7 linked regions of the Nothobranchius furzeri genome follow. The protein of the gene in region 3 interacts with the protein of the main gene of each other region in a biochemical or structural test. Links are inferred from orthologs where the notes say so. Each region holds a gene or a part of one and is shown on either strand. Other genes may lie near its edges.

Evidence for each region.
Region 1: of the proteins of cdkn1a (region 3) and dtl, one has a biochemical effect on the other in vitro, tested with the Homo sapiens proteins (3 studies listed by BioGRID, with this or other methods). The link is inferred for Nothobranchius furzeri from reciprocal best matches to the Homo sapiens genes CDKN1A and DTL.
Region 2: of the proteins of cdkn1a (region 3) and casp3a, one has a biochemical effect on the other in vitro, tested with the Homo sapiens proteins (3 studies listed by BioGRID). The link is inferred for Nothobranchius furzeri from reciprocal best matches to the Homo sapiens genes CDKN1A and CASP3.
Region 4: the proteins of cdkn1a (region 3) and cdk2 form a complex in vitro, tested with the Homo sapiens proteins (9 studies listed by BioGRID and IntAct, with this or other methods). The link is inferred for Nothobranchius furzeri from reciprocal best matches to the Homo sapiens genes CDKN1A and CDK2.
Region 5: the proteins of cdkn1a (region 3) and parp1 form a complex in vitro, tested with the Homo sapiens proteins (2 studies listed by BioGRID). The link is inferred for Nothobranchius furzeri from reciprocal best matches to the Homo sapiens genes CDKN1A and PARP1.
Region 6: the proteins of cdkn1a (region 3) and sex comb on midleg-like protein 2 form a complex in vitro, tested with the Homo sapiens proteins (2 studies listed by BioGRID and IntAct). The link is inferred for Nothobranchius furzeri from reciprocal best matches to the Homo sapiens genes CDKN1A and SCML2.
Region 7: of the proteins of cdkn1a (region 3) and akt1, one has a biochemical effect on the other in vitro, tested with the Homo sapiens proteins (2 studies listed by BioGRID, with this or other methods). The link is inferred for Nothobranchius furzeri from reciprocal best matches to the Homo sapiens genes CDKN1A and AKT1.

Annotation. Positions count from the first base shown.
Region 1 is NC_091742.1:7,898,061-7,901,560, reverse strand, and holds part of dtl (denticleless protein homolog), read right to left. Parts: intron 3,446-3,500; coding exon 3,372-3,445; intron 3,303-3,371; coding exon 3,196-3,302; intron 3,108-3,195; coding exon 3,003-3,107; intron 841-3,002; coding exon 728-840; intron 627-727; coding exon 537-626; intron 379-536; coding exon 255-378; intron 94-254; coding exon 1-93. UniProt on the Homo sapiens protein: Substrate-specific adapter of a DCX (DDB1-CUL4-X-box) E3 ubiquitin-protein ligase complex required for cell cycle control, DNA damage response and translesion DNA synthesis.
Region 2 is NC_091744.1:19,575,380-19,579,425, reverse strand, and holds the start of casp3a (caspase-3a), read right to left. Parts: upstream 2,801-4,046; 5' UTR 2,663-2,800; coding exon 2,598-2,662; intron 1-2,597. UniProt on the Homo sapiens protein: Thiol protease that acts as a major effector caspase involved in the execution phase of apoptosis. Following cleavage and activation by initiator caspases (CASP8, CASP9 and/or CASP10), mediates execution of apoptosis by catalyzing cleavage of many proteins.
Region 3 is NC_091743.1:46,701,408-46,704,575, forward strand, and holds cdkn1a (cyclin-dependent kinase inhibitor 1), read right to left. Parts: upstream 1,669-3,168; 5' UTR 1,538-1,668; coding exon 1,535-1,537; intron 1,401-1,534; coding exon 950-1,400; intron 868-949; coding exon 812-867; 3' UTR 501-811; downstream 1-500. UniProt on the Homo sapiens protein: Plays an important role in controlling cell cycle progression and DNA damage-induced G2 arrest. Involved in p53/TP53 mediated inhibition of cellular proliferation in response to DNA damage.
Region 4 is NC_091743.1:49,085,331-49,088,152, forward strand, and holds the end of cdk2 (cyclin-dependent kinase 2), read right to left. Parts: intron 2,420-2,822; coding exon 2,342-2,419; intron 2,259-2,341; coding exon 2,138-2,258; intron 2,045-2,137; coding exon 1,874-2,044; intron 1,790-1,873; coding exon 1,688-1,789; intron 1,598-1,687; coding exon 1,394-1,597; intron 1,300-1,393; coding exon 1,195-1,299; 3' UTR 501-1,194; downstream 1-500. UniProt on the Homo sapiens protein: Serine/threonine-protein kinase involved in the control of the cell cycle; essential for meiosis, but dispensable for mitosis. Phosphorylates CABLES1, CTNNB1, CDK2AP2, ERCC6, NBN, USP37, p53/TP53, NPM1, CDK7, RB1, BRCA2, MYC, NPAT, EZH2.
Region 5 is NC_091742.1:4,979,624-4,983,744, forward strand, and holds the start of parp1 (poly [ADP-ribose] polymerase 1), read left to right. Parts: upstream 1-1,321; 5' UTR 1,322-1,445; coding exon 1,446-1,568; intron 1,569-3,269; coding exon 3,270-3,435; intron 3,436-3,723; coding exon 3,724-3,839; intron 3,840-3,930; coding exon 3,931-4,121. UniProt on the Homo sapiens protein: Poly-ADP-ribosyltransferase that mediates poly-ADP-ribosylation of proteins and plays a key role in DNA repair.
Region 6 is NC_091756.1:62,972,408-62,975,478, reverse strand, and holds the end of sex comb on midleg-like protein 2, read right to left. Parts: intron 2,878-3,071; coding exon 2,749-2,877; intron 2,455-2,748; coding exon 2,233-2,454; intron 2,144-2,232; coding exon 1,986-2,143; intron 1,915-1,985; coding exon 1,789-1,914; 3' UTR 501-1,788; downstream 1-500. UniProt on the Homo sapiens protein: Putative Polycomb group (PcG) protein. PcG proteins act by forming multiprotein complexes, which are required to maintain the transcriptionally repressive state of homeotic genes throughout development.
Region 7 is NC_091758.1:33,910,168-33,913,667, forward strand, and holds part of akt1 (RAC-alpha serine/threonine-protein kinase), read right to left. Parts: coding exon 3,484-3,500; intron 3,345-3,483; coding exon 3,279-3,344; intron 2,858-3,278; coding exon 2,789-2,857; intron 2,209-2,788; coding exon 2,083-2,208; intron 838-2,082; coding exon 709-837; intron 1-708. UniProt on the Homo sapiens protein: AKT1 is one of 3 closely related serine/threonine-protein kinases (AKT1, AKT2 and AKT3) called the AKT kinase, and which regulate many processes including metabolism, proliferation, cell survival, growth and angiogenesis.

The sequences.
Region 1 (3,500 bases), on a different chromosome or scaffold from region 3:
GGGCACAGGCAGCAAGCAGAGGTGAGGGGAGACCAGAAAGACTCCTCACTTCCCAGTCTTTCAAAGGCGTCGTTTCAGGTCTGAGTGAAAGACCTGAACAGCAAAAGTCACACCAGTTCAGCTCAAACCATTAGCCTACTCAATCATGTAGTGCAGCTTTAATGTTTTTGCCGGTGTTGCTCAGAAAGTGATAACTGGATTTTCATCTAGAACTAATTCAATATGGTCGCCACAGATAAACAACAAGTACGTACTGGTGGGAAGTTTAGGTCGTGCCCAGCCTACAAGGTTGGCCTCCCCCACCGATGACTGTGGATCATCAGTTTCCCTGTGAAGTCTCCATATCCGGACAGTGTGATCATCGGAGCAGGAAGCAATCTGTCAACAGAGCAGAGGGGGTAAAAAAAGTAACTTTTTAAAACATAAAAATAATCAATCAAAACAGTTCAAATGTGAAAAAATAAACATTCTTGGTTAAGAAATTTTGTATTAAAACATTACATTCTGGTTCATCACCCTGAGGTTTAAAAACATACTTTGGCAAAATCCGTTGGACACCAAGCGACAGATGTCACTTCCTCGCTGTGACCCTGAAGCGTCATGGGAGGACGTTGAGGATCAGAAATCTGAAATGTTATCAAGTAGTTTTTATGCTCTGCTCTTTGATAGAATCAACACGAGGAGAGAAAAAAAAAAAAAAGATTTAGGCGCTGGCGTAAGGCGGTACCTTCCAGATGTGAACGTTGTTGTCACTCGAGCCACTGGCCAGGAACTGGTCGTTGGGGCTGATGGTGGACTTCACATAAAACGAGGAGTTCTGGTGTCCACTGAAAACTGCCACTGTGTGAGCAAACGTGATTCAGAACTTCAGGCATTAAAGCCGCTATAACAAATCTACACAACAAGCTAGGCTTCAACCTCAAACACAGTCACGAAACACTCATCCCTCCCCTCGAGTATCTTCCCTAAGGCTCTTCTGCTGGAACTGGAAACCCACTACGATGGACAAAACGAGATATTGCTAAACACCAGTCGCTGTTTTCTAGGTCCAAACGTCTTTTGTTGTCTGTGATTTCAAATGGTGTTTATATTTTCAGAACTTTGGTAGATTGTCTAAAAGTTGAAGTGGTAGCAGCCGGCTGTTTCTCCTTTTCTGATATTATTGAGTGGAGAACCTCTCACACCAGTGGTGTTCTGTTGCTAAATACGTCAGTGCGTAAAGAATGGAGAACCCAGGAAAGTGTGGTGGTTCTGACAACTGGATGGTCCTATGGTTGCTTTTGGTCCGAAGCATGTTATTGGCCCTCCGCCAATCAGACAAATGTAAGAGAACATTTTATTAATTTTTTTATTATTTTATTAAATTTATTTATTTGTTATAAATGCAGGGGACTGTTCTGTTCTGGTCCTGCTGGACCTGACTGCAGCCTTTGACACTGTTGACCATCACCTGCTACTGGAGAGGCTGAGAGACTGGGTAGGCCTATCAGGATCTGCTCTGGAGTGGTTCTCCTCTTATCTCTCTGAGCGCTCCTTTTCTGTGGCCGTCTCCAAGTTTAGGTCCTCCACCACCTCTCTTACCCATGGTGTCCCACAAGGTTCTGTGCTGGGGCCTCTGCTCTTCCTCCTCTATCTGCTTCCTCTTCAGCGCATCCTGAGCTCCTTCAAAGTAATCTCCTACCATCTTTATGCAGATGACATCCAACTGTACATCTCCTTTAAGCCCCATGAGATGTCTAAGCTGCAGCTGTTACACACCTGCTTAGACTCTACGAAAACCTGGATGGCTGGAAGCTTTCTTCAGCTGAATGAAGATAAGACTGAGAACCTCATCTGTGCCCCAGACAAGCTGGTTCCCAAAGTCAGAGACTCTCTTGGTCAGCTTGCTTCTCACACCAAACGTTCCGTCAGGAATCTTGGCGTGACCTTTGACCCAGCTCTCACCCTGGATTCTCATGTCAGTTCTCTTGTTCGCTCTTCCTTCTTCCATCTCAGGAACATTGCTAAGCTGAGTCCCATTCTGTCCTCCTCTGAACTTGAGACAGTTATCCACACCTTCATCTCCTCACACTTAGACTACTTTAACTCTCTTTTCACGTGTCTGAGCAGAACCTCCCTGAACCGTCTACAGCTGGTTCAGAATGCCTGTGCTCGGCTTCTGACCATGTCCTCCAAACACACCCACATCACTCCGCTTCTCCTCCAGCTTCACTGGCTGCCAGTCAACTTCGGGGTTCATTTCAAGATCCTGGTTCTGGTCTATAGGGCCTTACATGGACAAGCACCATCTTACATTGATGATCTTCTTAGTCCCTACACCCCCAGCAGGTCCCTGAGGTCCAGTGATCAAAGCCTACTGGTTGTGCAGCACCAGGCTAAAGACCAAAGGTGACAGATCATTTGCTGCTGTGGCCCCCAGACTCTGGAACTCTCTCCCCCTGAGCCTGAGATCAGTGGACTCAGTGGACTCCTTCAAAAAGCAGCTGAAGACTCACTTGTTCAAGCTGGCTTTTGTATGACCTTCTTCACCACTCTCTCTTTATTCTGCTCTCCCCATCTATTCCACCTTCCTCAGGATCCACTGATTTCCCTCTTTCCTGTTCACTCTCTCTCTCTTTCTTAACATTTTTTCTTTTAAATCGCAATTGCTTATTCTTGCTCATTTTAAATATATTTTTGAACATTTTTGAAATGCTTTTTTATATTTTTACAATTTTTATATTTTTTGTTATTGGTTTTTGTGAAGCTCCTCGTGATTTTTATCTTGAGAGGCGCTATAGAAATGATATTTTTTCTTTCTTTCTTTTCTTTCTTGTTGTGACAAGATCTGAAGATTTAAGTTTCCAAAAAAAAAAACAACTAAAAAGCATCTCAACTTCTCCCTTCTGGTGCTCTGCTCCCCGCCAAAGTAAAAGCACAAACCCTTAGCACCATCTAGTGATTTAAAAGCAGTAAGGAGAAAACGGTCTCTGTGCCAAAGATATAAAACCTGTCCTTGTTACCTGGTGATGTTTTAATCCCACACACGTTAAACATGTAGATGTTGTCATCTGTGCAATTGCACATGACGTTGGATCTCGAGGAGTCCAGAACGAGTCCGGAATAACCTGCAACATTAATTTCAGTTCATTTGGAGTCTTTTGGATATATATTTATATATTATTAATATGTTGATCTTTACAGAGCAGGACCGACCCAGACGCATGCGTGTGCAGGTGCCAGAGTATGGATAAGTCTGCAGAGGAACGGGATCGTGGCGACATGGGCTGTAGCTCTTCCTCAGATCCCACATTTTTATTACTCTGAAAGGGTGGGTGGGGTCATTTTTATGGTCAATTTTATTTTGACGAGCTGAAGAGTTGTGCGTTTACCCATCAACAGCTCCTGAAGAGATGAGTGTGTGTTGATCCCGAAACAAAACCACAGTCACACTCTGCTGAGTATCCTGGGAAAACAAAGATAAGAGATTTTTGTCGTACCAGGGAAAAAAAAGATAATTC
Region 2 (4,046 bases), on a different chromosome or scaffold from region 3:
TCTTCAGCGTCACTCCCCCCCTCTGTTCTCAACAAATGCGTCTGACTGCCTCTATTTGGGTCTCTCCGTCCCTCCTTTTTGCTCAGGGGCCCCTTTTTTTGTTTCTCCTGAGGACCCCACTTGGACCTGCAGGCTCTTTTAATGTGACCCCTCTTGCCACAACCGTGACATCGTTCAGCTGCAAACCTGCACTCAGTGCCCAAGTGTCGGCCGTTGCAACGAAAACAGCTCAGACTTTTCAGCTGAGCCTTGTCCATTAAAATCTTGTGGACTGTCCCCTGACTCCTTGACACACGAGAAGCTGGAGTCACCTCGTCCCCCAATATCTCCTGCAAGTCCCGAACATCCTTAGAGGCAGACTCCATGGCCTGGCACAACGTAAGAGCTTTGTCAAACGTCAGGTCCACTTCAGATAATAGCCGGCGCTGCATCCTGTCATCATTCACTCCACACACCAACCTGTTCCTCAGCATTTGTGGCAAAGCCGCTCCATAGTCACAGTGCTGGGCCAGTTTCCTCAACTCAGCCACATAATCTGCCACCGACTCCTCATGCCGCCGCACCTGTGAATTAAACTTAAACCTCTGTACAATCTCACTTGGTTTAGGACTGAAATGCAACCGCAGTGTCTGCGTCAACTGTACATACGTCTTGTCTTTCGGTGCCTCCGGGCTCAACAGGTTTCTTAACAAGCTGTAGGTAGCCGGACCTACACCGCTCAGCAACACAGCTTTCTTCTTATCAGTATCCGTTATCTCATTAGCCTCGAAGAAAAAGTCAAGCATTTCGCTATATTCTTCCCATGACTGTAAGTCGCCGTCAAACGGACTCACCGACCCAATCACCGCCGCCATTTTCCCCCTTTGTGTCGTCCAAAGGCGAGTAGATGTCCCGCTCCCAACACGTCCGGACCGACTGGCCGTCTATTCCCGACGCAGAGAACCACACCAGACTTTATCCTCGTCGCCAATTGTGTAATATCCTCAGGTAGACACAATTACATCCAGAGAGTAGAGTCTTGGTTGAACCTCGTTTATTGCTCATCACACCGAAAGCACCACAGCTTACGTTACACCCCCACAACCGGAAGTGCCCCGGACCTAGCTAAAACAGTACTACCAGAATGGAGCACTGGCTCCCCCTAGAGGTGTCATATAGTAGTTTCCTACCTCAACTACTACATAAAGGAAATACGCGATAGCCATTTCAGCTAGAAAGAAATACAAATGAAAACCATGGACCTCGCCCTTGAACACTAAGACCACCAGAGGCCGGATGCTGCTCAAGAACTGCAAGGACCCCAAACTCATCTCGCCAAATGTGCTGACCAGAGCCTTGGTGGCTGTGATGTTTGTCTTTGTGAAATACTAAAACATAAACCCCATCGTGGCACATGACTAGAGAGAATTTGGCCTCGTCACTTACTGATGAAAATGCTCACCTGAAACACGAGGCCAACTGAAATGAAATGGACTGCGTACCAATGCGATTGACTACAACTTTGACTACAACTTGATATCAAGCCAGGTGGTGACGAGGGATGTTCTGATTGAGAAAGGTTACCATCGACGAGAACCCCACTCCAAGACAGGAGGAAGAAGAGCATACCACCTAAGAATTTGTGGGAGGAGAGGTTTGATTGAGGTCAAAGATTTTAATTGCAATAGCCTGAAGCTGTGTTGCTGAGCATTGAGAAATGGTTTTGAGTATTTACAGCAATTAGCTTAAGAGCTATTGAAATAAATCACTTATTTTTTAATAAAAACTCTAATAGAAAGGATCAGAGCTTGTGAAATGTGAAAACAACTGCAGTGTTTCATTGGTCTGGCTTAGTAACACCACTGAGAAATGGTTTTGAGTTTTTTGACTGATTTACCAAGGAGCTATTGACAAAAAATACTTAATTTTTGATAAAAATCCTAATAAGAAAGGTTAGATCTTGAGAAATGTTATAAAAACTGCTGTGTCGTATTGGTCTGGCGTAGTAGCATCGTTGAAAAATGGTTTAGGTTATTAAAATCAATTAACCTAAGAGGTATTGAAAGAAATCACAGAAATTTTCATGAAAATCCTAATTAAAAAGATCAGATCTTGTGAAATGTGATGAAAACTGCTGTGTCTCATCGGTCTGGCTTAGTAACATCATTGAGAAATGGTTTTGTGGATTTAGACAAATTTACCTAGGAGCTATTGGAAAAAAAATCCCTTGATTTTGGAATAAAATCCTAATAAAAAAGATCAGATTGTGTGAAATGTGTTAAAACTGTTGTGTCTTGTAAATGTAGCTTAGTAACACAAGTCAGAAGTAATTGAGTCATTTAGCAAGTTATTCTGGAAGCTTTTAATTTTTTTGTACTCGTTTACAACGGACTACAAATTTGTTGATAGCCCCTAAGTGAACCACCGTTCCCATTAGCGAGTCCTCGGAACTCAGGTTACCGCTGTCTGTGCCGCAGTGCACGGCATGAAGGCTTATCGCTGACCGTGTAAACCAATGTCTGTCGAATATCCAACGTCCAACTTCAAGCTAACTTCACCGCAGTAGAAATATTAACCTGCTGCTGAGGCTAAAGGTCGCTACTAGCTTCGTTACTTACTGCTCTCTGCCGCTTTGCCTCGCGTCCGTACAGTCCGCTCCGGCTTCACTTCCATTGGCCGACATATTTCTTTGGGACAGAAATAGGTGCACCGAACAGCGAAATTGTACGCCCAGAGTGCCAGAGAGCTGATAAAAGACTACCAGGATACTTGTTCAGGCAGTAGCGGCGGCTCCTCCCTGCCGCCGTGATAAACAAAGATGCTGATGTCACGCAGAGGTGCGCTTGTTTTTCAAGAGGGGCAGGGAGAGGAGGGCGGCGAAACCACCGCGAAAGCCCATAAATTTCCAAACTTCAGGCATGATCCTCAGTCATAAGACTTGAGTTGTTCGCTATTGCATTACACCATTTCGTGAATATATGATTCTTCCTTACAATATTGTTGCATTTTTCAGAAACATTTAATCTTAAAAGTAAAATAAACTAAAGTAGAAATAAGAGCACCCTATCTGAGGTAACGCCACTAAGTAAATATTCTGACATTTAATTCAATATAAACACAATGGAGATTCTACATGTTGCATTAAGTGAAATTATAACAAAGAATGAAAAAAATTAATGATTAGGCACGGCCCTCAAGCCTGGCTTGCTATGAGGGTGGCATCGGCCTCCACTGGACCCCCCACCCCCCTCGAACCGCTACTGGTGAAACTCAATATTACTGTAGCACATACAAAAATGGCTATTATTGTCCACTTTTAACTCATGTTTGGCATTTATGAGAATTAGTGCTTGGCTAAAAGTCAGCAATGTGTCAATAATGTTACTATAAAAAATCCCAGGTGATCACCGCTCCACCCTTGCGCTTGATAGTTATTTGTTTGTGCTGAGATGTTCTGTCGAATTTTGACCAAATTCACCAAAAGTTTAGGTCAACATGCAGTCCTGTGTGTACATATAATAGACCTCAGATCATTGGGAAAAAAAACGGCCTTATGACCAACAGGTCAGTGGTTAGAATCATCACCGCGTGACAGGAAGATGTCAGGGTTGATCTAAAAAACTATTTGGAAACCAACAAAGGGAGATCATCATTTATTAGTTATATTATATCTGAAAACACGTAGGTACTGTGCTAAGTGCAAGAACACCTTGTCTTTTAAAGAGCAGTAAGAAATTGTGGCATCAAGGAAAGTGACAACCTCCACAGTACGAGGGCAACTAAAACACAAACTCAAAGTAACACAAAACAAGAGACAAAACTTGTAAACGCAGTTATTTCTGAAAATGTACTTAATACATCTAACCAAATGTTGCAGAAGAATCCTGTAATTTTTTCAATTTGAATTAGAAACCCACTTTAGCTTGTAAAGGCAAATCAAAGATGAAATAAATCTTTAAAGTGCTTCTTTGCATTTAGAGCAATTCAAAAACTGCACATTTGTTATATTTACATAGAAGTACTTGCAACAAGTTTAGTTGTCATCTCATTTTAAGTACACTTGAACA
Region 3 (3,168 bases):
CTGCTGCACAGGCGTTTCAACCACTGAATCAAGTCTGTTGGAGCAGAAAAACCACAAAACCTGCTGGATACCAGCCCTCCAGGGCCAGGATTGGGAACCCCCGATGTAAAATATAATGCACTTAAAAAAAAAACTCCTATAAAAAGACGTAGAAAAACAATTATAGATTTGAACAAAATAGACAAAGCTCTCCTGTTTTTAGCTTTCCTGCGGCTTTGCCACAGAAACGTATTAATCTGAGTCCTGATATTTGTTCGCACGTCTGCTTTTCATCCTCAAACAGGCAGAAGTCCCACCAAACTGAGATGTGATTGTGTTTTAACCCTCTGGAGGCAGGCATCGCAGATCTGCAACAGTTAAAACCTACCTACCTGGTTACTCCACACAAGTATCTCATGAGCATTTTTTAACTCAGAAGCACCCCTGAAGGACTTAGTTGTTCGTCCTTTTATCAAAACGAGACCGAGAGGGTTAAGAGCTGTGTGACGCGCCGTAACAAATGTCAGTCAGCAATTTGGCGAGCTCTCAGTCCAAATGAGTATAAATCCACTGATTCCAGAGATTACTGTTAATCTTCTCTGCTCAAATGTCACCTTCTTAACTGCAGCGTGGACAGAAAACACCAGACCCCTCACACATGCAGCATCTTAATTAGCCTGGTGCCTTCTGGGTTTTTTTTTTCTTTTTTTTGTTTTTTTTTTGTTGGATGATTCAGCACTCCCGCTGCTCGGTGTGGAACAACTGATTCCTGAAGGAGGTGCTGGTTCTTTGTCTGGTTCTCTTGGGAGTTTTGGCACCTTCAAAGGAAATATCACTCCCCGGATTTCCTCGGCAGCCAGACAACTCTTCTTTTAGCCTGATAGAAATCTGTTGGGTTAAAGAAGAGGATACTTAGCTTATGAGAAAAGATGAGTGTTTCTAATTTGATATAAAAAATATCTAAACATACCTGTAATGTTTGTCTGTTTCCTCTTCATTCCTGATTTGTCTTCCGTCTCTGATGTTGTCTCCATGTTCTCCAGACTCAGAGAACATTTCTCTAGAGTTTGGGGGAAGTTCTCTTTCTCCCTCTCTGGTACCACCACCCTTCCTCTTTTGGTTGCACCTGCTGACCTTTGACCCTCTGCATGTCCTGCACAGATGACGCTGGATCTGTAGGGCAGTGGCACCCTGGTACCTGGGACAATCTCCCACTGGAAATCACCGCTCTCCAGAGGTTTGTCGGAGAAGAAGTCGAACCCCCAGCGTTGGGAAGCCTCCTCCAGATCTTTACGCAGGGCAGTCCGGTACTCCATCTGGAGCTGTTCTCGGTCCACTGGGCCAAACAGGCTCCGCCGAGGGGGACCGTTCCTTCTTAGAGTACTGAGGGCTCGCTTGTGAAGTGTAGCCATCCCTCTGCACTGTAGGTAAAAACAGGAAAACTGATTAGTTTCAAAAGCCACAATCTATTTTGTCCACAGTCTAAAAAGTACACAAACTAAATGTTTTTAATATTTTCAAACCAGTGATTTAAACAAAGTTTAGTCAGACTCACCATGGTTCTAGCCTAACAGCTCCTCAGTGAACTAGACTGCTTCTGTGAGCTGACGGGCTTTTATAATGCAGTGCAGCAGCAGCAGTGAGTCACTAGCCCTCCTCTCTGGTACATGTCTGGGCATAATCTCTCACAGGCATGTAAGGGCAAGTCCTCTGCTGTTGTGGTGTTTGGTGTAAGAGAGATAAACCACAAGGTGGCACTGTCACTCCGACTACAGACAGCTCGGAGGCAAACACCAGAGAAATAATTCATCTTCAGTTTACGTTGAAACTGAGGGAAACATGTGACTGTTTTCTGACTCTGACCTGGGAAACAGGTCATTCAGACCATCCAAGAAGGAAGGAAGCATTCAAGGAAAACAGTCCCTGCCCGTCCAGTTACGGTGCAGCAGATGAGATTGGGAGATGAATAAAATACGTTATCAGTGATTAAGAGGACACGAGCTTATTTTACAGAAGCTGTTCCAGTTATCTGCAAACGGAATCTGGAAAAATCTGCTTCAATTTGACGTGAAGATGCGTTTCAGTAAAATACTGATTAGTGTTATAAATAAAAATGTGTCAATGAAACAAGTCATCTGTTATAATCTGATATGATTCTGATTTTTATTTTCATACAAACACAAGCACAAACCCTTTTTTCTGATTCATAAAATATGAGAGTGAAATATGTCTCTATTTTAGCTTGATCTGGCTCCTATCATGGAGTTCAGTTTGGTTTGTTCATGAGAAAAAGAAGGGCCCTTTGCATTTTGATCAAAATTATCTACGTAGTAAAGTCAGTTGACTACAGTCTGTATCAGAGTTTACTAAAAAATGGGTTTGTTGGACACATCTAATGACCACTAAGACTATGTATGCAGTGTTCAACGCTCCCACCCACAGCACAGGGCTCAGAATAAAGCTCCCCAATTGTGGGTGGATCATTAGGTTAATAAAAGGGTTTGAAGGATCCCTGCTGGATCCCTGCGCTGCCCTGGTCCCACAGAGGAAGGGGGAGGGCGTTTCTTTTACTGGGCAGGGTGGTTCTGGGAGGAGTGACTCAAGCTTTGGCGGGAGAGCTAGTCATGCATGACTGAGTTGGACCCAGCCCAGTTCAGCTACAACTCTGCTCCACGTGAGTCTGGAACTCGTGTCAAACTGGGATGTCACAGTTTGGACTCACCCACTCTCTCTCTCTCTCTCTCTCTCTCTCACACACACACACACACACACACACACACACACACACACAGACATGTAAAAAAAACTAAAACCACCAAACAAGAGTTTATGGATTTCCTGGATGTGCAAAAATGAGATCGCAAAGATCCATTTATGTCAACTTTTCACACCTCTAGGAACACATTAGTCCTGTAAAAACGTTTTTGTTCTTCAAATGTTTAGAATACAATTATTAATGAGCTACAAAAGTGTATATATATATGTGTGTGTGTGTGTGTGTTGAGTTTTAAAGGTTGTGAAATCATAAATCTTACTCAGATGCTTAGAAGCTCTTTTAAATTTAACAACTACTAACTTCTTACATATAAAATAACATCTTTAATGTGTTTTACTTACATGTTGAGCCAAATCAGGTGCAGTTCGCTTCTAAATCTCCTCTCTTTTAAAGCTGTTGTCTACTGAGTCAGC
Region 4 (2,822 bases), about 2.4 Mb from region 3:
GTAATCTGGTGTGAGAACCTGCTAGCTGGCTAGCACTATTGTTTTTTTTTTTGAGTGCATGACCACATCTCACTTATTGAAATGCATTTCTAATAAAACAGCTTTCTTTAATCTACCCAAATCAGTTTTCTTGCTTTGCTTGTTTTATTTTATTGTGATTTATTATTTCTGATTAAACATGAGCGTCACCTGCAGGTTCCATCTCGGCTCTGACCAGAAAACGCTGTTGTTGTGTCCTTGGGCAAGACACTTAACCCGCCTTGCCTGCTGGTGGTGCCCGCCAGGCCTCGCCTCTGTCAGTGCACCCATCCCCACTGCTGTGTGAATGTGTGTATGACGGATTGTATTGTGAGGAGCCTTGGGGGGTTGTAGAACCCTAAGAAGGACACAAATAGAGGCCTTTTACCTTCACTATAAAACCTAAATAATGCCAACTACACAGTGGAAACATCAAAAATGTCACCATTTGATTTGACAACAGCCATAAAACCAGAAACAAGTGCTGAAACACATTTATTTTGTCTGAATGTATATAAACATCTATAAAAACTGTGCATTGAGTCTGGATAAAATCTAAAGATACAACAGCAAAGTTTGTTCTGTAAAATGTCGTAGAACACTTGTATATCAGAACCGTCGCTTCAAAGATGACATTTTAAAACCACTTCCAGATATTTTGGGACCAAACGCTGCTTGAACCTGGAGGATAATCGTACTAATTTTAACTTCTTTAAGCACCAACCATGTAATATCCCCCCATTTTTCCCCTGGTTGCAGCTCAGTTTAACATCGTTTATAATTTACACGATCCCACAAATTTGATCAAATGAAATTCTAATCCAGACATTTTGGATGATGGCATCCACATGCGAACATACCATTTAAATTAAAGAATTCAGTGAAAGGCACTGATGTGTCTCTCCGACGTGAACTCATAGATAATCACAAGAAACAGATCAAATATAGCACTTGCACATAAATATGCAAAATATAATTAGAAATTACAGTTAAACACTTCAAACTTTGATAACATCAGAGTTGGAACTTCCAGGAAAACCAGCTTCTTGAACGCGGCTGAAGAATCATAACGTATCCTGTAGTGTGCATCCCAGGCACAGAACTGAAGCAAGGCATGGTGGTCCTTATTGCTAATGAGATTATTGGCATTTAAAACAGCCTGCTAATTTGCACAGATTAAAGTCTCAGGTGAGGAACTGGCATGGTGACGTCCCGGAAGAATCGATGCACCAGTGCATTTTTGGCAGAAATCCTTTTGTTTGGGTCGTAGTTCAGCATTTCCTAAAAGATAGAGTCAAAACAAAGTAAAAAAAATGACTGGTATTACCATCTGTAAGATGTACAGCAGAATGAGGGAAATTATTTCGGTTCTTACTCCTAGAAGTTCCCTTCCATCCTCATCAAGGAGAGGAACCACTTTAGACAAATCCTGTCGAGCCCACTTGGGGAAAGATGGTTTGTAGTCTGGCATGGATGTGACTCCAGGCCAAACGGTCTCATCAGGCGTTCCCAAGGTTCGAAAGATTCGGAACAACTGGTCTATCTCAGAGTCGCCGGGGAATAAAGCCCTCCTGGTGATCTGTGGACACAGGTGTACTAGTTAGATGTCAACAACACTCCACATCACACAAACGCTGTTTATTTTGATTTATGAGGCTGTGTTTATCACCATTTCAGCAAAGATGCACCCCAGACTCCAGATGTCAACAGCTGTGGAATAGTATTTGCAGCCCAGGAGGATTTCTGGTGCTCTGTACCAAAGTGTTACCACCTGGAAATTCAGAAAAGTGGTTTTGTACAAGAAGCTAAAAGAATAAACTAAGCTGTCCTGATAAAACCCACTTAGACAGCTTACCTCATGTGTGTATGTTCGTACGGGTACCCCAAAGGCTCTCGCCAGGCCAAAGTCAGCCAGCTTGATCTCACCTTGGGCGTTGATGAGCAGGTTTTGAGGCTTCAGGTCTCGATGAAGAACTCTGTGGGAGTGACAGAAGGCCAGGCCTTGCAGCAACTGGAAGAGATAACTCTAAAAGAACAACAAAAGTAAGATCAGATCTAATTTGCACAGAAGATTCAATCCTAACATTTTGAGGACTGACAGTCACAAAGTGATGACTACCTTGACCAAAGGCAGCGGGATTCCTGTGACTGAGGAGGAATCCATGAACTTTTTCAGATCCTGATGAAGGAACTCAAAAACAAGGTAAAGTTTGTTCTCCGTATGGATGACGTCCTGGAGTCTAATAAAAAAACAAAAACAAATGATGACAGTTGGCAACGGTTCAGACGTGCTCTGGCCGTGGCTCAAACACTAAGAACTTACTTGACAATATTTGAGTGACTGAGTTCTTTGAGGAGTGAAATTTCCCGGATGGCCGTGCTTGGTACGCCTTCTGTTTCTCTGCATTAGGGACAAACAAACCAGAGCTTTACACCAAAACAAATAATGACCAGCAAGCAGGCATTGCTGAATACAGTAGTGATGCACCGATATGAAATTTTGGGCCGATGCTGATATTAAAATCGCTGTTATGACCGATAACCGATATTTGCCTAGACTGTTATACTGACATTAATCTGTCTAAAATCAACAGATTTTGTATAGAATGAAAATTATTAAAGCTGAATTTACCGTATTATGTACACACACAACACACACATGCTTCTGAGATGATTTCATTCACTGTCACATGACTAAACAAATACACATCACCCCCTCACCCTCTGAAACAGATAAACAAATGGAGACAAGATTGAAAAAATATCGGTTGTTCATATCGGCCCACTTTTATTTATCAGGCCGA
Region 5 (4,121 bases), on a different chromosome or scaffold from region 3:
AAGGTTTGCTAGTTGGATCAAGTCTTGCCAAACTCCTTTTTCCTTCTGATCCATCCTGTCACTATAAAACTAAATGAGTTGAGACCGTCTTGGGTGAAATCATCTATGATTTCTCATCTAAACCTTACTTTGGAAATTAACTATTTATAGCATCATAATATAGGTTAACTTCATCATCTGAAATCTCTGTTTTCAGTTGTTGTTTATGCTATTTTGTCCAGTTAAAGAAAAGCCAACACATTTTCTTGCTTGCTTAGAAAATGTGCTAGCAAGAGGTGAGACCTCTACGCCAAAACACACAATACCTCTTAGAATTTTACTCAGTGGCCTGTAAAGCCCTGGTTGACGTTTTTAGTGAGTTATTTTCCACCAATTTTGTTTACAGTTAAAGATGTTTTTATATTTATTAGTAAGCCCAAAGATTTTTTAGAAATAATTTTACTAATTAATGACTATGTGAAAAATTATTGTAAAGACGAGTAAATGAAAGTCTCCATCAGTGTATTATTATTGTCGTTATTGAACCCAAATTGTTATCTAGGCCCTTATAATCAGGTCATAGTTTTTAAAAATTTTGTTTTCAAAAGACTGAAGTTCATTTGATGAACACATATTGTATTTACATTTTGTATGTTTATTTTTTACATAAACTTTCAATGTGAATTGTGCAAATAAAAATCTTAAAGCAGAACTATTCTTTGGAATTGTTTGTTTGCGCATTAGTTCTCAGTGATCAACTATAAACAAATGCAACTATTGTAAATATATTTATAATTAACATACTTAATAGTTTTGCTTCATGTAGAATTTCATGTTTAGTTTTGTAAAAATCTGATTGATCTGTGCTCCATTAGTTCTGGCTGAAACTCGCGCGGGAATTCTGCGAACCAGTTCACTGATCCTATATTGCTCTTAAGATGCCCCACTTGGTAGAAGAAGAAAAGTTAATGTGTGTAGCGCCTTTCAAGATAAAAATCACAGTGCGTCAGAGATTTAGGTTAGGGCAGAGCTACTCTAGCTCTGGGTTAGAGTGGCCAAATGTTTCTCTCTTTTATGAACCGTTAAGAATAAACAAAGTTGTTATGTGGTTACAGTGTAACAACTCAACCCTGATTTTTTTCGGTACATTAGAGAAAAATACAAACAGGTGGGGACCACACAGAAGTTTAAAATGGCCAAACGAATCATCATAATGTCTCGAATCATAACGTAAACAAACTAAAACGTAATATACCACAAAGTACATTAAAACAAAGTTAAAACTTACGTGGATTGTAAATCGGAGTCAGAGTGAGACCTCGTCTCGTGAGCTTCCTCTCCAAGTAGCACGCGGGCTGCAGCCGCCGCTCTGCCTGTGATTGTTGTGGTGGCTCCGAGAGTGCATCGGAGAAAGTTGCCCTCTTCATCACGTCGCTTTGTTTGCTTGTTTGCAACATTAAGGAACAATGGCGGACTCCCAAGATGACAAGCTCTACAAGGCGGAATACGCGAAAAGCGGCCGGGCTTCGTGCAAGAAATGCAAAGAGAGCATAGCTAAGGACTCGCTGAGGATGGCCCTCATGGTGCAGGTGAGGAGGTAGCGACGTCTGGAGGGATTTAACCAAGGAACCATTCTGTTATGAAGCCTTTTATAACCGTGCTGATATCTAAATCATATGTGCGCATATAGAGAACCATAATAATCAGACTTTAAACTAATCTAGTGTAGTTTATAAAGGAGTTTGAGTTGTGCTAAGTGAGGCCCCCGGTTAGCATTTAAATGGCTGACTGAATGAATCTGGCTCACAAAGAGCCGCCTGGATCGCCTCAGAGGGACTTAGGACAATGTCTGAGACCCATCCAGTGTGCTGCAGAATACAACTGCTCCATCCTCTCCTCCACTCAAGAGACATAGATAAAAAAAATCACACAAGCAGCTGTTCCAGTCTGTGCAATAGAGAAATAATCATGTAAGAGTCAAACTCCTGCTTATTGGTCAGTCTGTGGGTCCAGATCAGCACTCACCCCTGCAAAAGGAAGGAAAATTCATTACCACTTGCACACATTTAAAGTTTCAGCCACAAAATATAGTCTATATAGTATTTCTTTTGTAACGTCTTAATAGTTACAGTAATGCATATTATCAGGTCAGTGGTTCCTTTTTGTTTTTATTGTTGGAAAACCCAACCGTGTGTTGTGTATTTTCTGCAAAATATGTCAATTTTTTTTTAGTTCTGGCTGCATGAAACATTGACATTCTTGTGAATATGTTTATTTGTTATACTTGTTTAAATAAGTAAGTCAGAATTATTATCTGTAGTTTTAAAGACAAAATTGTGAAAACCCTTGTTTACAAATTCATGATTTTATTTTTAACGTGAGTAAAATCTGAATTTTTTTAATGCACAAAAAACGTTTGTCATGTAAAACCAGAAAAATTCCATCCATCCATTTTCATCCGCTTATCCGGAGATGGGTAGTAGCCAGTAGCCGAAGTCAAGAGGCCCAGACTTCCCTCTCCCCAGCCACTTGGGCCAGCTTCTCTGGTGAAATCCCAAGGCGTTCCCTGGCCAGGTGAGAGACATAGTCCCTCCACCGTGTCCGGGGTTTACCTTAAGGGCTCCTCCTGGTTGGACGTGCCCAGAAAACCTCACCAGGCAGGACTGCGGGTTCCCGTCAGCTGCCTCTGGAGTCCCACAGGCCAAAAAGACCTGTTAGGACTCTTTCTTCAGCTTGACGGCATCCCTAACCGCCGGTGTCCACAAGCGGGTTCGGGGGTTGCCACCACGACAGGCACCAACGATCCTGCGACCACAGCTCCGGTCGGCCGCCTCAACAAAAGAGGCACGGAAAAGAGTGCATTCAGACTCGATGTCCCCCGCCTCCCCCGGAACATTTTGGAAGTTCTGTCGGAGGTGGGAATTGAAGCTCCTTCTGACAGGAGACTCTGCCAGACGTTCCCAGCAGACCCTCGCGATACGTTTGGGCCTGCCTGGTCTGACCGGTATCCTCCCCCACCATCTGAGCCAACTCACCACCAGGTAGTTGTCAGTTGCCTGCTCCGCCCCTCTCTTCACCCGAGTGTCCAAGACACGCGGCCGCAGGTCAGACGAAACGACAACAATCCATGACTAGCACAGAAATCCAACAACAAAACAACATTCAAATTCAGAAACCAGAAAAATTCAAACAGAAAAACCTTTATTCTCACTTTAATGGTTTTGTTTTTTTTTTTCATCTTTTTTTTCTGATATTTGCTGTTGCTTCATTGTCTTGTTTTTGTCCTCCAGTCCCCGATGTTCGATGGGAAAGTCCCACACTGGCACCACTTCTCCTGCTTCTGGCAGCGAGCGGCAGCTCAGACTGAAGCAGACATCGCCGGGTTCTCCACTCTTCGCTGGGAGGACCAGCAAAAAGTCAAAAAGGCTATTGAGACTGGAGGAGCTGTCGGAGCAGGTCGGTGGTAGATCTTTAATTATTGTGTTCAGCGCCTTGTTTGGTTGTAATGCCTTGTGAATGCGCTTTATAAATAAAATTGGATTGGATCGTAAGCAAAAGAGCTTAAGATAGCTACTTTCAATTGGTTTAACTTTGTCTTATTAGCCAGATAAAAAAGTGAAGTGATCCATAAAAAGTCAAAAGAGTGCCATTTCTCAAGTTGTTCTAAATGTTTTTAATTTATCATTTACTATTAATGCATATTTTTTTTAAATGTTTAGACTTATTTTCCTTTGCATCTTGCAGGGAAAAGTGATTCAAAAGGTGCCGCTCAAGGGGCCAAAACTCTGAATAACTTTGCCGTGGAGTACGCCAAGTCGAACCGCAGCACGTGCAAAGGCTGCGAGCAAAAAATAGAAAAGGTCCGCAGCACAGGAAATGTCTTAATCAATAACCGTTGAACACGTGTCATAAATACTTCACATGTCTGCCGTATTTTTGCTTCTCTTTCAGGATCAGATTCGTGTTTCCAAGAAAACGGTTGACCCAGAGAAACCTCAGCTGGGTCTGATCGACCGCTGGTACCACACGGCGTGCTTCGTGAGCCGCAGGGAGGAACTGGTGTTTAAGCCCGATTATTCCGCCGCCCAGCTGAAGGGATTCGACGCGCTGCGCGCCGAAGACAAGAACGATCTTAAGAAGAG
Region 6 (3,071 bases), on a different chromosome or scaffold from region 3:
TAACGGGAGGTAAATGCACTTTACCTGTCCTGTTTATCGGAGGGAAAAGTTCAGTCTGGCTGAAAGTTGGAGCAATGAGACAAACCATCAGAGCAAAATGATAGATCTGTTTGTCTTTACACCTTCATGTTGTCGTGGGTAGTGCAACCACGTATTAGCATAAAACTGCTAAAAGTAGCCTTTAGCTCGTTGCTATTCTTGTATGAAGCTACAAACATCTTCCCGGGGTCGCAGGTCACGCTCTCTGTGGCATCCTAAACCAGAATCAGACTTATTAGAAATTAAAGACAGATTTGTCTTTTAAAGAGACATTTGTCCTTTTTTCTATTAAGGAGTGTTTTCATTTGCTAGAGAATTCCCATTAGGGCACAGATATGGTTCTTCTGAGCCAGCCGGGTCGAGCCAAAAACATTTCCACATGGTTCTTCAGGGAAAAACAACCAAACAAAAATAAGAGTATTTTTCATACCTTGGTTATGGCATGACAGAAGATGCACACGTGTATAAACACAACCTTTATCTGGTGTGACATGACGGACGAGCAACAGTTTGCAAAAGTACTTTAAAGATGCAGAAAAGAAACAGTCAGCACTTTGATCCTGTGTGGAGTACATGGCACAAGTTTAAAGTGTAGAAGGTGAGGATGGGTAACTACAAACATACGTTACAAAAACTACTAAAAGCACAGAAACCTGAGAAATGCCTTCGAGCAAGGCAGGGTTTAGAAGTGAACTAAAAGCACTGTTTTAGGTCTCTGAAAACCAGCGTTAAATACTCGACCCATCACCTTCTAGCTTCACATTTCTGTCTTACGTATACAAATTCCTTAAAATATTACGTTTCCACAAAATGTACATTCTGCTGCTGATATTCATGGTTAAACCCATAAAACTGTACACAGTACTAAAAGTGATTGTAATGGTCGACTGTAACAACACTGAGGTCTTGGGCAGACCAGCACATGATTCATAAAAAAACAAAAAACCACGAGGAGCCCTTGGAAATGTCATACCTAAACATTCTCTCTCTGAAACGGATCGAAGCCGAAGGGTTGAGTTTGCAGAACACGCTAGACGGGCACGAGAACCCAGCAGGAGGCTGCTTCAGACCAGCGAAGACACAATAACTTATAAAGACTCACAGCAAGTAGTGACTGTGCAGGACAGCGACGGGAACGCCTCCGTCCAGCAAGACCGTATAACTCACGACCAGAACCAGGACGAGCAGAGAAAACGTCTCGAGCTGTGTGGCGACGTCGGCGTCCTTCAGGCAGACGGAGACTTTTAGGCAAACACGGAGCAAAACCAGCTGGACAGACACGAGCATCAAGTTCTCTTAAAGAACCAGGAAGAACGTTTGATGTGTTTTAAAACTTCTCAGTATGCTTACCCTTTTCTTAGTGAGTATAAATTTAACAATAATAAAAACATTTTATAAAGAAGAAACATTCTCCATCTTTGGGGATCCAAACCAGGATCTAAACATTTCATTTCCATTAAAAAAATGTCTGTGCACGCGTTATGCGATGTAAACACTGCAGGGGTTTCTCTGCTTCGGGGTTTCTTTGAGTCCGTCGCGTTCGTTCCACTCAAACAGCCATGTGTGCACGAATGAGGGGATGAGGTCATGTGTCAGCAATGCATGGCACACTTTGTCCACTCTGGAAGTCGGGATGAAGGTGTAACATCTAATGCGTCCCTCCAGGAGAAGTCCGGTGTAACGCGTGACCCCTGCATGACCTGAGTCAGGATCCAGACGTCCTGCTGGCAGGTCTGGTCCTGACGCTCGTCACAGCTTGCCTTGCTTCAGCCGCTCTATGTGATGACATAACTTGAGCGCAGGTCCCAGTTTCAGACCCATGTACTTCATTATCATGTCGCTCCGTAGAAGCATCAACGCTTTTCCATCGATTTCCTGTAGCGACGAAGAAGGAGACTCAATAATAAAGACTAAAAACAACACCACACGTACCAACTTGGTCTTACATGTTTTCTGAAGAGTTCAGCGTGAGGCGCCAACGCGGTGGGGTCTGCGTCCCGGACAAACTGCATCACCTCTTCGATGGACCAGGAGGCGGGGTTTTTACCGGGAAGACTCTCTCGCTCTGAAACCACAGAGTCGGGACCTGTGGTGGAGCTGGCTGCTGCCAAAGCACACACGTCAGAGAACCAAGCCTCGTAGCAGGACAAGCGCCTGCAGCTAACGTCCTACAACCACCCAACCCGCCCGTACCTTCCACTCGTCTCAGAGGCTGAGGGGAGCTGAGCTCTGCTGGGTTGGAAGAATGGCGGCGCATCGGTGTGCTACCGCCACGGTGATAGAGGCTTCTGGCCTGGGAGTGATACTCCGAGGTACTCCGCATCGTCTGGGGTCGGGGGGTCATGGAGTTGGACGCAGAATCCATGTAGCGCTGCTCCTTCATCAGGCCGTTCTCTTCATGTGGAAGAGTCTCTGCTGGAGGGAGGAAGACACACAAAGTTTTAAAACACCGCTCAGTGATGTCCACATACATGTAAGTACACAAAGTACTTTTGAAAATACTACAAACTGTGTACTGTCCTGCAACAGCAAAGTGTTGCTTGTCTGTAGATCCAACGTCTGAAACTCTGATTTATGAAATGGTTTTACAACAAACACGCTGATAAGAGGTAGACGGGAGGACTATAAACCCCCCCCCCCCCCCCCCCCACACACACACACACACACACACCCCCACACACACACACCCCCACACTCAGGGAGCTATACCTTCTGAAGGGTGAGCCTCAGCTCGTACGTGTTTGGGAGAGAGGGGCGCTGCATACGGGGGGGAGACTCCTGAAAGGCAGCGTTTACTGCCCCGAGCCAGAGTGGGAGAATCCAGCGCTTCTTCTTTCACTGAACCAGACACAAGGAAACACTTATTTTAGGCTAACAGTTCACAACTCTGCTCACCGTTTGCTGCAAGGAATGGGCGTAGCGATAAATACGTGTGCTAAAACAAAGAGTTTTTTCAGGGAATTCCCGCTGCTTTATGATTATTTAAAGAAGGAAACAGAATTTTAAATCAGAGAAGACTTCTCTGGAGATAT
Region 7 (3,500 bases), on a different chromosome or scaffold from region 3:
ATGTGTTAGGAGATCGTTTTGGGCCGTTCCTGTAAAAAAAGTGAGGCGCGAACCGGAAAAGCGTCTGCCGATCACAATTCGACAACGGATTATGAAAGAACGGATAACGCTCGAAACACACAGATTCTTCCTGATGTAAGAGGTGAGTCTCCTCTTTGTTTTGGCGTCGACATCATCCTAGCGCGCAACGTTCTGTGACTCTTAAAAAAACAGTAAAAACGGTGAGAAACGCTGGCAGCGAAGGCTGTTGGCGATCAGGAAACGGCCAGCAGTGAATGAGTTAAAAGCCACATATTGTTGATATTGAATCAGCAACAAACCACTATGAATGGCTTATTTTGATAAAACTCTTAATTTATGGCCTGTTAGTGACAGAATGACAGCATTAGTAATAAGCTGTTAATAAGTGCTTAATAATGACTAGTTCAGACTTAGTTGTCCACTAATATGCATATTAATTGGCAGCTAATTAATGGTTAATTTGTGTTCCCTAAACTAAAGTGTTACCAAAGTTTTAAACTTCATATGCAGGCATTCATCTTTCTCAATCCAGACAAGCAGGAATTTAATATACTGGATAGATTTGTAAAAGAAAAACACTCAAACACCTAAACTCAGAACTTACACAGTCTTTGTTATGTTGTCACCAATTTAGTGAAGGTTGCCTGCTGTTAAAAACAACGTAAGTAGAGGTAGATTTGTGTTTACCTCAGGTGCAAGGTACTCAGGTGTCCCACAGAAAGTTTTCATAGTGGCACCGTCTTTGATCCCCTCCTTACACAGACCGAAATCTGTGATCTTTATGTGTCCGTCTTTGTCCAGCATGAGGTTTTCCAGCTAAGGAGGGAAGAAAAGGTTTCGTTTTCTACATGAAATCAACTTTCATCTCCTTAATACAAGATGCAGTTTGTACTAACTTTAAAATAAAAACATACAAACGCGTGTGTGTATTTTGGCCACAACTGTTGTTTTTGCTCCTTTTTACGGGTTTCTTAAACACAATGTCGTAACTCTAGCTCTGTCTTTATTCCTTATTCAAATGTAATATTTAGATAATCCGTACATCTTAGTACAAAAATAATTATTTAGATGAAAACAATCCCTTTATTCTGTCCTTCTCTTAACTGAAATTAGAAAAAATTTGTCAAATTTCCTCCGTTTTGAACTTTTTATTCAACTGAAGCATTGATTTAAATTATAGTGAGAAACAGACGAGCTCAGAACCATCAACTTCACGACTAAAGCAGCAAACTCCACCCTCTTGGCTGCCACTTCCTTAAATACAATTCAAAATCTGTGCCAAGTAAAAATTTACTCAAAGTGGACATCATTCAGTTCCATGACGTGAGGTTGCTCATTCTGGCCCTCACCCCCCTCCAGATAGTCACCTGACAGCTGTAGCTCACACGTGGCCAGCAGCGCCCAGCCAGAGTCAGCACATCCTCCAATCCTGCTATCCTGGCATTTTCAGGAGAACCCTCGCAGGCTGGGAGCCTGCCTCGTAAAACCCCAGGGAAGGAAACCGGGGGGGAGGGAGTGTGTGCTGTGCTGACCTGGCTGGTATAGTTTTATCTGCTGAAAGTAGTATGCCTACAGATGCCCACTGCAGCATTTATAACCCACCTAAACAACAAGATGCCCATCAATTGCTGCACTGAAGGATTCTGGTTCTGTGTTTCCCTCAAATTCAGAACTAGAAGCCAAAAACATCTTAGCTGGAGACGAAGGATGGTTTCTGTTAACAAAATTAATTATTTTCTACAGCGTCAACTTATAAAACGGTATCAATTACAAAGTGCACAGATATCACCCACTGGGCATCGAATGCACGCTATAACTGGAGGAGGTCGCAATCTGTTCAAAGAGCCTGGTGTTTACTTCCGTCTCTCTGCAGTAATGTATGGACCAAGCTCGTCTCCAGCTGCAGTGAGGCCTGGAGGAAGCAGATCAATAAGGCTTGGCCACGGCCACTGCTCAGGAGGAAGATAAACCCTTCCGAAGGACGACGGAAGGAAGCGAGAGCGAAAAAATGAGTAGAAGAGGCCAGAATGGACAAAGGCGAGCGCACAATTTCCCGCTTACCTTTAAGTCACGATAAACCACGTTCCTCTCGGCGTGCAGGTAATCAAGCGCCGACACTATCTCTGCTCCGTAGAACCGAGCCCGTTCCTCGGAGAAAACCCGGTCTCTTGACAGATGGAAAAAAAGCTGAGGAAACGTAGGGGAGAAAACGAGGATTCAGTAATTGTCCAGAAGGGAGAAACTGAAGCCATGTACACACGTAGCCGACTACCCCCCCCCCTCCATTTAGGAAGAAAACTTGGGTCTCGTTTTGGGCAAAATAATCTAGCACACTGTGAAGCACATTCGTAGGCATCCCAAGCCTGTAGGGGACGGTAGTTCCCCAAATTGTTGGCGTCTTTGCCGAAAAACATTCCATGGATGTGGAATAACAAGGTGGCAGCCAACAGCCGTCCTCAACATCGTCTTTCACCTGCGTCTTCTTCACCAGAGCAGCCACCGAGCTAATAAGAACAAGGAGGTAAGTGTAAACAGGTCACACATGTGACAGTACAAAACCTAAAACCCAGTTTTTTATGTCCACAAGCACATGCTGACGATGGAGAATTCACAAATTTCCATTTTGGTCCGGGTATTTGAAAGATTCGCGTTTGGTGCCCTGGATCTTCACTTTTGCGTGGATGACAGAAAATATCTTTGTTTAGTGGGATACCCGACTACGTGTGTACAGGGTCTTAGTCGTGAGGGCACCGGTAAAACGGCCTACCTCGCCGCCGTTTGCATATTCCATGACGAAGCACAGGCGGTCGTGTGTCTGGAAGGAATATTTGAGTCCCTGCAGAAGAAGAACATGTTTAAAGCAGAACTTGAGGTTTAGAGAGAAATCAGGAGGAAGCTGCCCTTTAAAACAGCTGGAAACAAAATGCATTTTAATACAAAGAACTGTGGGAACACCCAACCAAAAAGGGAACATCAATGATCCGATTTGTGGAGGTTTTAAAGAACCGTTGTCATCTGGTCTACATTGAAGCCGATGCATTATGTCTCCACCTGCCAACCCACCTCTTAGTCAAAAAAAAAAAAAAGGGGGTTAACAAATAAAAAACTAAAAGCCCAGTGTTGCTATAAACAGGCACATCACTTCAAACACTCCAGCCCAGATTTTCTGAATGGATTCTGCTGGACTGGACTGAAGAGGTTCCTGAGGATTTCTGTGGGTTAACGTAAGGTTTTGGGTATACGGAGGGGCTCCTTACAGTCAAGAACGGATGCTTTGAATTCTGGAGGACCCTGTTCTCTGTGAGTGTGTGCGCCACTTCATCCTGAAAAAGAAAAGCACAAAGAGTGTTTGTGCAAGTCTCACAATAGCTAACTATTTAGGTATCAGTCATTGCGCCGCTGCCCTCCTAAACCCGAGTAGCTTTCACCCCTTTTTCACTCGGCTCTCTGGCAACCACTCACTTTTGCTACGATCACCT